Linked DNA regions of Daphnia pulex. The protein of the gene in region 1 purifies or fractionates together with the protein of each later gene. This does not show direct contact. Links are inferred from orthologs where the notes say so. Each region holds a gene or a part of one and is shown in the gene's direction. Other genes may lie near its edges.

What was found.
Region 2: the proteins of drebrin-like protein B (region 1) and neuralized-like protein 4 purify together in Homo sapiens (co-immunoprecipitation; 4 studies listed by BioGRID and IntAct, counting the BioPlex papers as one, with this or other methods). This does not show direct contact. The link is inferred for Daphnia pulex from reciprocal best matches to the Homo sapiens genes DBNL and NEURL4.

The regions. Positions count from the first base shown.
Region 1 is NC_060020.1:4,127,424-4,134,344, forward strand, and holds drebrin-like protein B, read left to right. Parts: upstream 1-3,232; 5' UTR 3,233-3,558; exon of another isoform or gene 3,559-3,693; intron 3,694-3,824; 5' UTR 3,825-3,865; coding exon 3,866-4,004; intron 4,005-4,115; coding exon 4,116-4,228; intron 4,229-4,315; coding exon 4,316-4,531; intron 4,532-4,599; coding exon 4,600-4,764; intron 4,765-4,836; coding exon 4,837-5,671; intron 5,672-5,736; coding exon 5,737-5,802; intron 5,803-5,864; coding exon 5,865-5,938; 3' UTR 5,939-6,273; downstream 6,274-6,921. Other genes in the region: ribonuclease 3-like, read right to left, coding at 1-11, 81-1,054; uncharacterized protein LOC124193009, read left to right, coding at 6,684-6,921. UniProt on the Homo sapiens protein: Adapter protein that binds F-actin and DNM1, and thereby plays a role in receptor-mediated endocytosis.
Region 2 is NC_060025.1:7,232,266-7,239,128, forward strand, and holds the start of neuralized-like protein 4, read left to right. Parts: upstream 1-3,194; 5' UTR 3,195-3,233; coding exon 3,234-3,440; intron 3,441-3,528; coding exon 3,529-3,636; intron 3,637-3,693; coding exon 3,694-3,807; intron 3,808-3,874; coding exon 3,875-4,031; intron 4,032-4,092; coding exon 4,093-4,281; intron 4,282-4,354; coding exon 4,355-4,518; intron 4,519-4,597; coding exon 4,598-4,823; intron 4,824-4,895; coding exon 4,896-5,932; intron 5,933-5,999; coding exon 6,000-6,779; intron 6,780-6,854; coding exon 6,855-6,863. UniProt on the Homo sapiens protein: Promotes CCP110 ubiquitination and proteasome-dependent degradation. By counteracting accumulation of CP110, maintains normal centriolar homeostasis and preventing formation of ectopic microtubular organizing centers.

The DNA.
Region 1 (6,921 bases):
GTGCTTTGAAACTACAGAGAAACAAGATTTTTATTTTATTATGAAAATAAATAGAAATAAAATGGAAATGTTTTCTTTACCTGCAGCGGCACAAAGGACCGTCATTCATTTCTCCTGGATCATTGAACCACAGTTCAGGGTGAAGTCTTGACGGATGTTGTTTCTTTCGTTCCAGTTCTTGAAGAACTAGATCAACTTCGTCTTCCTCCTCTGAAGAAGAATCAGAAGTACTTGAATCGGACTCGCAAGTCTTTTTGGATTTATCCTTGCAAGAACCGCCACACTGCGTACTGTGTCTCCTTGTTTTACGGGGAGGGTAATCAAATTTGGGCTGCATTGTACGAGCTTTGTCGCCACGCTCTAGCAGCTTAATGCGAAATTGATCAATAGTAGCTTTCAATTTGTCGGTGCCACGCATCAATTTAGGATTGTCCAGATCCCGAGCATAGAACAGATCTGCAGGCGCACAACGAGTCCATGTTTTCTTCTCATTTTCAATAATTTCTTCAGGAGTTAGGCTAGAATATTCGTCCGGTGGGGTGATAGGTTCATCCTCATGAGCAGAATGTTGATGTGACTTCTTATACTCTGTTCTTGTAGAAGATGAAGAACTGGAGTGAGGCTTTTGGCTTGATTTAATAGGTAAAGGTCTTTTCGATGTGGAATTATGACTTGAATATGATCCTGAAACTTTATTAGTTTGTGGGTGAGTGTTACTTGTGGGCATAGAACTGCAAGCTGATGGACGTTGCTGGGCTGAGAGATACGGGGCAGCCTGGGGATACTGATTCAATGGAGGATAGTTTGGCACAAAAGAATGGGAAATTGCTGGTGGGTAACTTGTTTGTTGTGCATGTGGGCCAATTGCAAATGGTTGTGGTGGTGGTGGTGGGTATATCCCATAAGGTATAGGGGGTGGAAAATTCATTTCATGGAATGGGGGAGGAGGAAAACTATATTGCATTGCATGAGGGAAATTGTTGGGCTGAGGCTGAGCATATTGGTATCCATAATACAATGGAAACGGTGGTTGCTGGTTATTGTGACCATCCATCTATAAGAAGAAAGAAGGGCATTCAAAATCAAATAAAAAATAACATTGATTGCTGAAAACTCACATTAAAAATCTTTTTGTTTTGTTGGTCAAACAACAATGAGACTGTCACGTTTGTTGGGTCTGACAACCCCTGACAACCTTTACAAAGTAAAAGCTGGATGTAAGTTAGCGAGAATTTCTACAGGCTTCATTTCTAAAACATCGACGTATTATTAATAGGATTAATAGGAGAATCGAAACAAATTGCTGATTCTGTTGGACTTCTTGAATTCTAGCTTTTGTACCGTTAGCTTGTATACCGAGTTAAGTTAATACTAGGTGACACACGTTGAAAGAAAAAAAAACATTCAAGAAATGTGTTTCACAAATTTAGAAAATGAGGCCGGTTAACTTACTCCAAATTCCGCCTCGACTTTCGCTGAGATACAATTAAAGGCCCTAACACTGATCCACAACTCCTAAGAGTACAGACATACAGCGCTCCTTGTGGTGTGTCTGAATACTACAGTGAGGCTGTGTGAGCTAAATTGAAAGAAAGAGTGAAAGACCCATCAACAATCGAGCGTGAGGCTATTCTTTTTAATACTATTTTAAATCCTAAGAAAACTCAAAGGTCAGTTATGTTACGCTCGTTTATTTAAAAAAAAGGTTGCGCCATAGTACCAAATTTCCTCACAAGCAAATTGCACTTATTTGTCGTTGGTCGTTTAATTAAGATTAAGATTACCTATAACGCTCCAGAACATATAGTAGTCGTAATTACACTTGTTTTTTTTTAGGGGAATCCCTTGATAATTCGATATGTTATTGCCTTATTGGTCATCAGTGCGCTCATGTGCGTTTGCAACTGATCGCTGATATACAGTAACTATATTATATTTCTTCATCATATTGATTATTGGAATTCTCTGTCGCGAGTGTCTCTTGTAGTTTCATCAACTGGATGATCAAATTTCACATGCTCTGCTCAGACGGAAGCGGACGGAAGCATTATCTAAAATCGTCATTTCCCTTTGATCCAATAGACATCGATCCAATAGGAACCATGCGTTTCGATTATATTGACTGAATGTATTGTCCTTTGCTCTCGTCGATCTCCCAATCGATGATGCTGTATCATTCATGTATTGTTTAGACTCAATGTATGTAGAATGGATAGTATTGGGGACACACTCTCCTCCAAACTATTGGTATTGTACGAACTTGCCGCACGCCATCGATTTTGCAAACCCAAGATCAAAAGTTGAGGGTGATGAAGCAAAATAAGGCCAGCTCTTCTCGGTCCTTATCCGACCACACTGAGTTGTATTGATTGCTTGGGAGAAGGCAAGTATCTTTTTTTTCTAGAAACGTCCAACTTTTTAAGCAAACAAGGATTTGTGTAAAGTTGCTAAGGACGACGTTCACAGCAAGATAAGGGAAATATGGCGTCGGAATCGACCTCTCCTTGCAAAGAAACCATTTTGATTTTTTTGTTACCAAACTTCTCATTTGAGTCATTTCTATCTAGAGCAATTAGCTTAATGGTATACCTCATTAATTACCTACAATTAATTTCTAGACACTAATCTTCTTGTGATGCAAACTGGGAAATTGCTAATATCTCACGTTAACATCGCCATTTTCCAGGAAATCTACTGAGATGCATGTAAACCATATCAAATCATTTTAAAAGGATGGTGGCGACTGGTGGCCACTTTATCACATTTGAAAGAAGAATTCTTTATTTTTTATCTTCCCCTAGGGTGAGTCGTGTTCAAACAATTATTCCAACAGTGTTCTCCCATTCATTGTGAGTACAGTGACAGGAATAATGTCCCTCGAGCGATATACCATGAAGATAAGCGAAGCTAGTATTCGGAAAACGTATATACTTAATATCTGCATTGTCACATAACTGTGAAATATTGTCGGTCAACTCTTTTAAATTTTAAGTAGTTTACTGAAATCAATCTTAATATTTTTTCGTTCAACAACTTGATTATGCAGTGAATAAAGCCTTACTACGCTCCACTAATCCTGTTGGAATAGCGTGAGATATTTTGCTGAGAGATGAATTTGGTGAAGCGGTGCAAATTTTTTGAAAAAGCTTTTAGAATAAACCCCCAAAATTCCGTTCGTCTTTCTCCTTTAATGCTCTAAGGAATAAGTGAACTTGATTGTTGAATAGATGCGCGCGCGCTGCTGTGTTGTGCAACTAGAATTTCCAGCTTCTTTTTCGCATGACAGATTATTTCCATGAATTCTGAAACTGAAAATGCCCCGCTCCCGCTCCGCTCTGCCCGCCCCAGTCACAGTCCGTCAGGCCACTAAGCCAGATGAGAAGAGAGTTCGCCGTCTCCTCTGAAAATCCACTCGCATAAACGTCAAAGCAATTACAAAGGAGAAGGAAGGTTGCTGTGATTTCTTCAGCAGGTGACAATTAGCCAACAATTTGTGATAGTTATATTTCGTTGGGAAGCCACTACGTTTCTGCTGGATTTGACGTCTTTGAGGAAAATGTGAGTGGAATATTTCTGTTATCTCGTTCAGAACACGTCATTATGCTATCGTCACGATATTGAGATTAGTTCGAGGTTTTATGGTGATGCATTAAGGCCGGCTCTTTCTTCTTTAATCGAGTGAAACATTCCTTTGTAAGTTAGCAGCTTGGGCGGCTACCAAAATATTATTCCTCGTAGAATTTTAATTTCACAACATTTTTTCTTATTAGAGTTGTAAAATGGAGTTTTATAACTTATTGTTTTGATTTTTTTGTACATTTCAGTGTTGTTCTAAGTGAAACACAACAAATAAATCTGCTTGGAAATGGCACTTAACCTAGTCAAGTATCAGGATGAAATGCTTAAAGCCTGGAAAGAAGTTGTTGACGATAAGAATCCAACAGATTGGGCATTATTTACCTACGAAGGACAGTCTTATGACCTGAAACTTGTTGGAAAAGGAGGTAATGTGCAGTTATGATCACCATTTATTATTTTTCTATGCATAGAATTAACATGTTTGAATCCTATTGGAACTTTAATCAGCATACTTATAATTATAATAATTTATTTAGATGGTGGTATCACAGAACTGGCAGAAGACTTGAACAGCTGTAAAATAATGTATGCATTCTGCAGGGTGAAAGACCCAAAAACAAGTCTTCCCAAATATGTCCTCATCAACTGGGTATTTCTTGTTTATACTTGTCTTTTCACTATAACTCCATTTTGCCATTGTTTAACTATCTCGGTTTTTTTTTTTTGTATTTTTTAGCAAGGTGAGAGTGCTCCTGGTATCCGTAAAGGAACTTGCACCAATCATTTAGGACCCATTCAAAAGTTCTTTAAAGGAATTCACATCACGGTAAATGCGCGAACTGAAGACGAGGTTGATGAAGAAGCAATCGTAGACAAAGTGGCCAAATCTACAGGGTCGATTTATAATTTTAGTCGTTTGGATTCCAGAGAGGATGAACCAACTGGCCCTGTGGTATGTCAAGATTATAATTAAATATTTTTTTAGTTGATGAATGACATTTTTTCATTACAAATATTCAGGGAACTATTTACAAAAGAGTAAATCCCACACAAGAGATAGATGCAAAAGCTCGTGATAGCTTTTGGGCACAGGAAGAAGAAGAAGAGAAAAAACGCCAATTGGAGGAACAGCGACGAAAAGAGGAAGAGTCTAAGCGTCGTGAAGAAGAATTAAAGAAAAGAGAAGTATGTCACACATTAGACGTCTTTTTTTGCATACTCGAAGACAAATTTGATTTAAATATTTCTGCAATCCAGATGGAAGGTAGTCGTGCTCGAGAGAATCAGGTGTTAGCTCGAATGCGAAGTATTTCCGAGCTACGACAGGCGGAAGAAAAAGCCAGTATTTCCTCAGAGGAGGCTGAAAAAGCTAAATGGGCCAAACAGAAACAAGATGACGATAAAGATGATGAAGAAAGACGAATGCGTAGTGAAATTCTACGCCGACAGAGAAATAACGAGGCTCAGTCTCTGATTAAACAGCGCAGCATTGACGCAAAAGCTATCTTTGAACAAAATACTTCTGCTGGTCAGCTTTCAATATCAAGAAGAAGCAGCAGTTCCAATGTGTCATCCCCAAGCCCAACCCCGAGTGCTCCGAACAAAGTTGGTGCTAAATGGCCACCATCCCCTAATTCTGTATCTCCGTCTCCTGTTTCCCCATCACCCGCCTCTCCTACCCCTAATGTTGTCCGCCAAACTTCGATTCAAACTAACTTTTATGCTAATAATTCCTCGAATGGCCATTCTTCTTCCATATCGTCACCACCGCCACCAATGAAGAACGAATGGATCTTTGAAACGCCTACACCAGCCGTTATTGTCCCACCAGCACCCGAATTTGCCGATGCTCCCCCTGAATTACCCTCATCACCTCCGCCCACTGAGCAGCTCGAAACGGCCCCTATTTCACCTATTGCAGCTATGCTTGACGATGCCAATCAAGATTACGAAGATGTTAATGACGAAGAAGAACAAGAATGGGAATCGCCTCCTCAAGAGATTGTGAAACAAGTTCAGGCAGATAATTTCATTGATAATGAAGTCAATGGTTTCGGTATAAGAGCCCGGGCCCTTTACGATTATCAAGCAGGTAATATCATTGTAAAGTACGTGCTCTTTAGGAATGTATAATGATTTAATATTTGTAACTGATAGGTGAGCCTGGAGAAATATCTTTTGACCCTGGAGATATTATAACCAATATTGATCAAATTGATGAAGGTAAGCATTACTGGATTTCATTTAAACGTTTCTCCAGTTAATTAATTTTTCTTGTGTTGTAGGTTGGTGGCAAGGAGTTGGTCCGGACGGGACCTATGGTCTTTTTCCAGCTAATTATGTAGAATTGATTGAATGAAAAAACTTGGGAGCATGTCAATATTTTTTGTTGATTTCGATCCCCCGAATTTTCCTTCACTTGGGACAGCACAAAAAAAAAATCTATATCCTTTAAAACTGAAACATTCTCTATCCATCCTACTATGGTTAACACGCACAGACATTTCCGCGCTGACTAACTTAGCGAACCCTAATCGTCCTTTTTTTTCTTGAATTTTTACTTGCTTTTTAAAATGTTTACTTACACAAAAAGCTCAACTACTTACGAATGCCTGGATCTTCCGACTTTCCACCTATTTCATCCATTATTAAAACGAGCAAACTGTGCAATACAAGGTACTTACATGAAGTTAATATAGTTGTTTAATTTATTTATTTTTACGAATTTCTTTTTATCACAAAGATTTCTTTTTATCTCAAAGATCGATTTTATTTGTGCTTTACCTCCCCCTACCCGTATAAGTTTCAGGAGTTTTACTCGCGGATTAACTATTTACTTACCCTCTCCCCCACGTAGACCTATTTGGGTTGGACAACAAACTCGCAACAGGTCCCCATTTTATGAGTTTGAACAAAAAAAAACCCAAAAAAACGTGCCAGTAGGGGGCGAAAACGTTGCGGACAAAGGGGTATAGCAGCCGACAAAATGGCGATTTTCTTATGGTCTCCGAGCGCCTTTTGCGAGTTTTAGTTATGCTCTTCTAGTTGTGTGTTTATGAGGCGTCATGAATAGCCACGTATAAACATTTATTAGTGTTTTAAAAATGGAGTCATCAGCCTCTAACAGCTATCGGCGTCCCGATTCCCGTGCCAGCTTAAATTCAAATAATGAAACTCTTTTGACAAATGAATTTCCTGGATGGGGGGAAATGCCAGATGAAGTGGTCGAACGCTTTGAATCCTCACTACCAATGGTTCATATTGACTTGAGTGCGATTCCCGAGAAATTCCACGCAAAGGCGAAAGAACAAGTACTTGGCAACTGCTATGTGAAAATTCGTG
Region 2 (6,863 bases), on another chromosome or scaffold:
TAGGGGTTGTATTTGAGAATTGTGTCGTCCAGCTCATTCACCATTCTCGCCCAGATAGCTGTTGGAGATCCATCTGCTGGACGGCCCCTTATAGGGCGGAGTTTTCCCATGAACGGAAGTCCCCGGATCACTGGATCCAAGCTCCTCGAATCTTATTGGCTGCTGGTGATAGTGTAACTGTGCACAGGCCTCTTCCCTATTGGCCTCGTTGCCATAGGAGCGTTGCTATACACACAGCTGAAAACAGTTTAGGCTCTATCTACTTTCTCTGCTGAACACGGCGGAACACAGCCTCGAGTCATTCAGAAATCTACACAAAAACCAACAAAACGGTATACGGCTTCCGGCCGCCTGCTTTGTACAAAAGCTATTATATAAGCTATAGGCCAATTTGTTACGGAATGACGTGAGATAAATCAGTTTTGAAGAGCTTAAATTATAATGAAAAAATTCAAATCTAAATCTGCTGCAGGGTTCTTGTACATAACATTTATCAGTCATATTTTATTCGAGACCTCATTTAATAGTGCGCTGAGCCTTGGGCTGTTAATTTAAAAAAAATCTTACAAAGATATCCATGCTAGTTTGCTTTACACAAATTCAAATGGTTGATTTGCATATTGAAACAAAGTCAAAATTAACAACGGGATATTTAATTTGATTCGTAATGATTTTTCCTTTTAGTGAAAAACTGGAATGGAAAAAACTATCATCTTCCCTCCTGTGTGATTCAAGAAAAGAGCAAGGTTAACCAAGTGCGTGGTGGTATAGACTGCGGAGCGCCATATTCTTCAGCAGTAAAGAAAACGAAAATGAAAGGAGACAGAGATGGGCAAAGGAAATAAGGAAAAAAAAAGGTTCAGTTGAAAGCAAACGGATGTACGGCTCAGTACTCAATAATTTATTCTATTCACAACTGAAAGTCTATGCAGCTGTATATACCGTAGGCGGGTTTGTGACATGAGGTCCGGCAATTCATTAAAACGTTTTATGTGATTCGACTATAAGCAGCTAGCAGCAACAAGCCACTTAAAGTCAGTTTACATAAAAACACTTGGAAATGCTATTTCATAAAACTAATTCATCGCTTTTCTCACTTTCAACGTTTTACCTCACTCAATAGCGTAAGCTTGCTTCAAATAACACAACCTACTTGATACACGTTAGGGGCTTCTAAAGTACTTGATTTACACAAAATAGTTTTGAAATTATATTTCTCACCTCTCAAGTGACTATTATAATCTCGCTTTCTGCTGTTAAACGGACTTGAGATTGCCATCACACTAGGCAGAAATAAGATAAACGATTTTATTTTTTTCACCATTTACCTTTGTATTAGCTTTTAAAATAAGACTAATGCAGAATACACCATCAGGTAACATCACTTGAGGCAATCATTTTACCTCTGAAGAAAGTGGATTACCGGATCTTGAAAAGGCGTTGGATATCTGTTCTCAACCAAAGAGCCGTATGCCGTAAATCCGACCATTTTCAAAATATTCCCTTGTTATCCCAATATCTTGATACATACTAAAGCAACCCGAAAAATATCAGAGTCTAATTCACGCCAAACTGCCTTGATACTCACATTGCCGTTTGTGACTGGGAGAATGATTACGTGTTGACTCTCGGCTATTTGGAATGACATCGTCGAACAGCCCACCTCAGCAATCCAACAAAAAACTTGAAATTGTGGAATGATATTTGTACACTCCAAATTGGATGTAGCCGGAGCTAGAGGAGTTGTAGGCTAGTTTAACATTACAATATCAGTATTAACGTTTTAATGGACGGTTATCATATCATCCATAGTATTCTTTAAAAATATTAAGGTTATTTCAATGATAATATTAACCTTAAAAATTATGGACAGCAATTTAACGCAAGAGAATAGGCGGTTCGATCACTTAACCATCATGTGCTTTCAACTTTCAAGTTTCAAGTTTTCAACGCCTTTCGTGCATACTGCAAAGTCCTACGGTAAGGAGAACGTTTAGGAGTTAAAACAATTCCGATCGTGTTATCCACCGTGTTCATCCGCTCGCTACTCGATATGAATGTGTACAGGTATGAACACCTTATGAATAAATTTAATTGAATCTTATAGGCGCTTGAAGGGTCAAGATGAAAAATGTAAATGCTCAAGCACTAGCTTATTAATATTATTGTTATTACTGGGCAATGCCTTTAGAGTTATCTATTCTGTAGCAATTTGTTACAATGTATGTAGCTCATTTATTTGTTTCTCGGTACTATATCGATGGAGTAAATAATTACCGAAATGAACTCGTTATTAACGACTTTCGTTTGCGGTTCCGCAATCCGATACGATGCGTCCACAAGGTGCACTCTCTCCCTCTATTCATATCAACGCTGAAATAATTGTTTATATTCTGATTTAGACATACAGTAGCCGATTCTTGTAGCGTATTCCAGATTTGACTCATGAACATTGTTTGTTTAATGCATTTGATTAGTTTCTTTTTTTCATCTGATATATTCGCAATTATTTTTTGGTCATTCTGCGATTCTCAATATATCATTAATGCCACCGTCGTCTTTCCCAGCGATAATCTATTAATATTCTATGCAGCAGCATAGTCAATTCAGGAAGATTTCAACCTCTCCTAGTTCGGCGCGTTAATACTATTTCCTCTGATTAACTGGTTGAACATTAGTCTGCTCTGCCCAGAGTTTAATCTTGAAAATGAGTACTCACGCCTACACTTCATCCACTTGATATCATGATGTACACGATAAAAATCATGTTTATTTATCATAGTGGACGAATGGGGGGATGATTTCATTATCAATATATTAAAATTTAATTGCCTCTTATAGTCGTTGGCAGTGTGAAGATGAAAACGTCGTAGCTCAAGCACTGTCTTGGCAATATCGTTTTTATAACTGGAACTATGCCTTAAGAAGAATCATATCCATCGCAATGTGTTACAATGAATGTAGCTCATTTATTGGTTTCGCGAAACATACCATGGAGTAATTAATGACCGAGGTTAACTCGCTATTAGCGACTTTCGTGTGCGGTGACTTTATATACATGTGGGGAGTGCTGCAGTGCAAACAAACAAATGCATCACAAACAAACAAATGCATCACAAATTGCAGTTGGACATCCTTGTAAAAATAGCTCGCCATCTACCGACCGAATTTAAAAGTTTGCACAGTGTTGTGTTGTGACGGATTGTACGGTTTGTACCTTGCCGTTGTCAATAATGGCGGAGGAGCCGTCCAGCTGCATAATATCTTCCGTCCCGCTGCAGCAACAGTTTCACTCAATCCATGGAACTTTAGTTCAGCTATCGGAGAACGGCTTTTCAGCCTTCCGTCTCCGTCCTAGTCACGAATTCAACCAAGGGCTGGTTTTCTCCAGTCGGTCGTTAAAGGACGAGCAGGTCTTTGAAGTCCGGATCGACCGCAAGGTTTGTTATTATTAAACAAAGTGCTACTCAATTTGTTTAATCGAGAGAGAATAAAGAGTAAAAGTGCATTGTTCATTGGATTTTGCAGGTTCACTCATGGACAGGTAGTCTACAAATTGGAATTACCACACAAGATCCAGCTACCTTCCACCCCGCCCCTCCTCCAAATGCCCTAGATATTGTCAATAAATCATGGGTACATTCGTTCTTGAATAGGTAATTCAAAAAATTAAGCACTTTTTTCATGTTCCAGGTTTTGTCTGGATGCAATCTGTTTGAAAATGGTAAAATTATCGTAGAAGACTATGGCCCAAATTTGGATGAATTGAGTGAGGGAGACCGAGTTGGTGTAATGCGCACCTCAGAAGTATGTTTACCTTCTGTGCATGTTGTTTTAAATTTTGTTTTATTTTAAAATTTTTTGTTCTGTTTAGGGAGATTTGGTTTTCTATGTTAATTCATTTGCTCAAGGAGTAGCTGTCTCAGGCATCCCTCAAACTATTTATGCTGTTGTCGATCTTTATGGCAAATGTGTTCAGGTTTCTATGATTAACCATAGTGAGACTCATTCACTACCTAGGCCATTATTAAGTAAGTTGTGAATCATATTCCTTACAAAGAACCTGAAAACATTCCTTGTTGTTGTCTCCAGCTTTGAGTTCAGTTATGATGGATAGCAATCAAGTAAATCAGGAAGAAGAATCTTGTAGTACTGCGAGTACACCAAGCGGTGCACTTCAGGATCGATTGCGGTTTCATCATCGGTGTGGCACAATGGTGAAACTTTCGGCTGGACAACGAACTGGCGAACGCAGGCGACCGCTAGACGAGTTTAATAACGGTTAGTTTATCTCCCAGCCAACAGTTTTGAAATTCTAAATGTGTAGCTATCCATTTTATTTTATAATTTTCAGGCGTAGTCATGACCCAACGTCCTCTTCTACCTGACGAGCTCTTTGAGATTCGTATCGATAGTTTAGTAGACAAATGGTCTGGCTCTATCGAGGTTGGAATTACAACTCACAACCCAGCTGCTCTGGACTTTCCTTCTACTATGACCAATCTTCGCAGCGGAACGGTACTCTTTTGAAATATCCTGCATGTTAATAACTTCTGCATTCCATTTTGGTTTTAAATTCTAATGGAGTCAAATTTAGATTATGATGTCTGGCTGTGGAATCTTGACCAATGGCAAAGGGACCCGTCGTGAGTACGGCCAATGCAACTTGGACGAGTTAGGCGAAGGGGACCGGATCGGACTCATACGCAAGACAAACGGGGATCTGCATTTTTACGTCAATGGTCGTGACCAGGGCGTTGCCGCGTCCAATGTACCAAATCCTGTGTGGGGTGTTGTGGATCTCTACGGGCGGACAGTCAGAGGTAATTTCATTTACTGTTTTTACAATTTTGTCTCCGTTTGTGTTAAAAAACTATGATGAATGTTCTCAATAGTTTCACTGATTGACCGGGAAGACGCCGTTAAACCTCCAACGAATGAGGCAGAAGAAGATGCTCCTGTGGTGGTGGAACAACTGCAGTTTCATATGCGGTGCGGTCTACACGCAGCTGTTGTGAATGGTGGAACGACAGGACATCGACCGAACGCACAAAGTGACTTTAATCACGGTGTCGTGTTGACTAGCCGACCTTTGAGGCCAGACGAATTGTTCGAAGTAGTGTTGGACAAAGTGGTTCTCAAATGGGCGGGTTCCATCGAGATTGGTGTCACGACTCAACGCCCCGAGGAGCTCGACTTTCCTGCCACAATGACCAACGTCCGTTCAGGCACTTGGATGATGACCGGCAACGGCGTGATGCACAATGGACTAACTATTTTGGACGATTATGGAACTTCGCTCGACCGTCTGGGCTCGGGAGATCGGGTCGGTGTGATACGACGTTCGAATGGGGTTTTACACTTCTTCGTCAACGGCGAAGATCAAGGTCCAGCGGCCGGCAATGTTCCAGAAAAGGTTTACGGAGTCGTGGATTTGTACGGCCAAGCAGCCCAAGTATCCATCGTCTCTCCTTCCCCGGCCACTCCGCTAACTGATTCTTCTCCCTATCCGTCCTATCTCTATCCGGCACCGTCTCATCTTCTGGCCCCTTTGGTCTCTCCCACCTCTTTGGCTGACTCCACGTACGCCCTCCCCACTTCATCGTCTTCTACTTCGGCGTCGTCAACGCTCATCCACACGGATTTAAGCTTTCACAGGTTACACGGCCGCAACACAACCTTGTCTAGCAATTGCCTTACGGCGAGTAGACCCAACGCGTTGTCAGAATTCAACGATGCCATCTGCATTACATCAAGGCCCTTGAGACCGGGGGAGGTGTTTGAAGTGATGATCGAAAAACTAGTTGAAAGGTGGTCTGGATCACTTGAACTTGGCGTAACATCCATCCGTCCTGAAAATTTGGATTTCCCTTCAACAATGACGGACATCACTTACGGAACGTGGATGCTCAGCGGTTCATCAGTGATGCAGGTGAAATAGCACAAAATGACGAACTCTTTCATCTTCATTTTTATTCATATTTGTTTTGTTTTTGTAGGATGGGACCATCACTCGAAACGGTTATCCACTCGACTTGGACGCTTTACAAGAAGGGAATCGAGTTGGGTTATTGCGCCATGCTGACGGAAGTTTACACTACTACCTGAACGACCAAGATCAAGGAGCAGCATGCTGGGGCGTGCCCCAGGATCTTTATGCCGTCATTGATTTGTATGGACAGTGCGCCCAAGTGTCGCTGGTCCACAGACCCCTTCAAGTATCCGGTATACCTACTAACCAACAGGAGGGAGATGCTACTCCAATGGACTCGACCGCCAGTGAACCAAGATGCATCCAGCCGCATCGTCATCGTATCTCACCTTATTGTGGTCGGGCTGTCACTCTGTCAGACGATGGTCGAACGGCCAAACGCGAAGATAAGGATTTCGAGAATGGGCTGGTGTTCAGCTTATTGCCGCTGCAACCAGAAGAGTCGTTTGATGTGCGCATCGATACCGTGTCTCAGCGCTGGGCTGGGTCCCTTGCCGTCGGCCTCACTACTTTCCATCCGCAAGAAGGAGCCGTGATTCCTTCAAGTTTAAGTGGTCTGGAGTCTTCGTGGTACATCTCCAGTTCGAGTGTTTTCCAGTCGGGACGCAAAATTCTGGCCTCATGTCTACCCATGGAACATTTGGCCGTTGGGGATGTCGTTAGCATCCGTCGAACGGTGGAATCCACTCTTCATTTCGCTGTGAACGGCCGGGACTTGTCCGTCTGCGTTCGCAACATTCCTCATGGCGCGTACGTTGTGATGGATCTACACGGAATGATTCAGTCTGTAAGGATATTTTTCCATTCAGAAGAAAAATTGGATCTTTGGTTTTAACATTAAAATTTGATTTTTTCTCATTAGGTGAGTGTC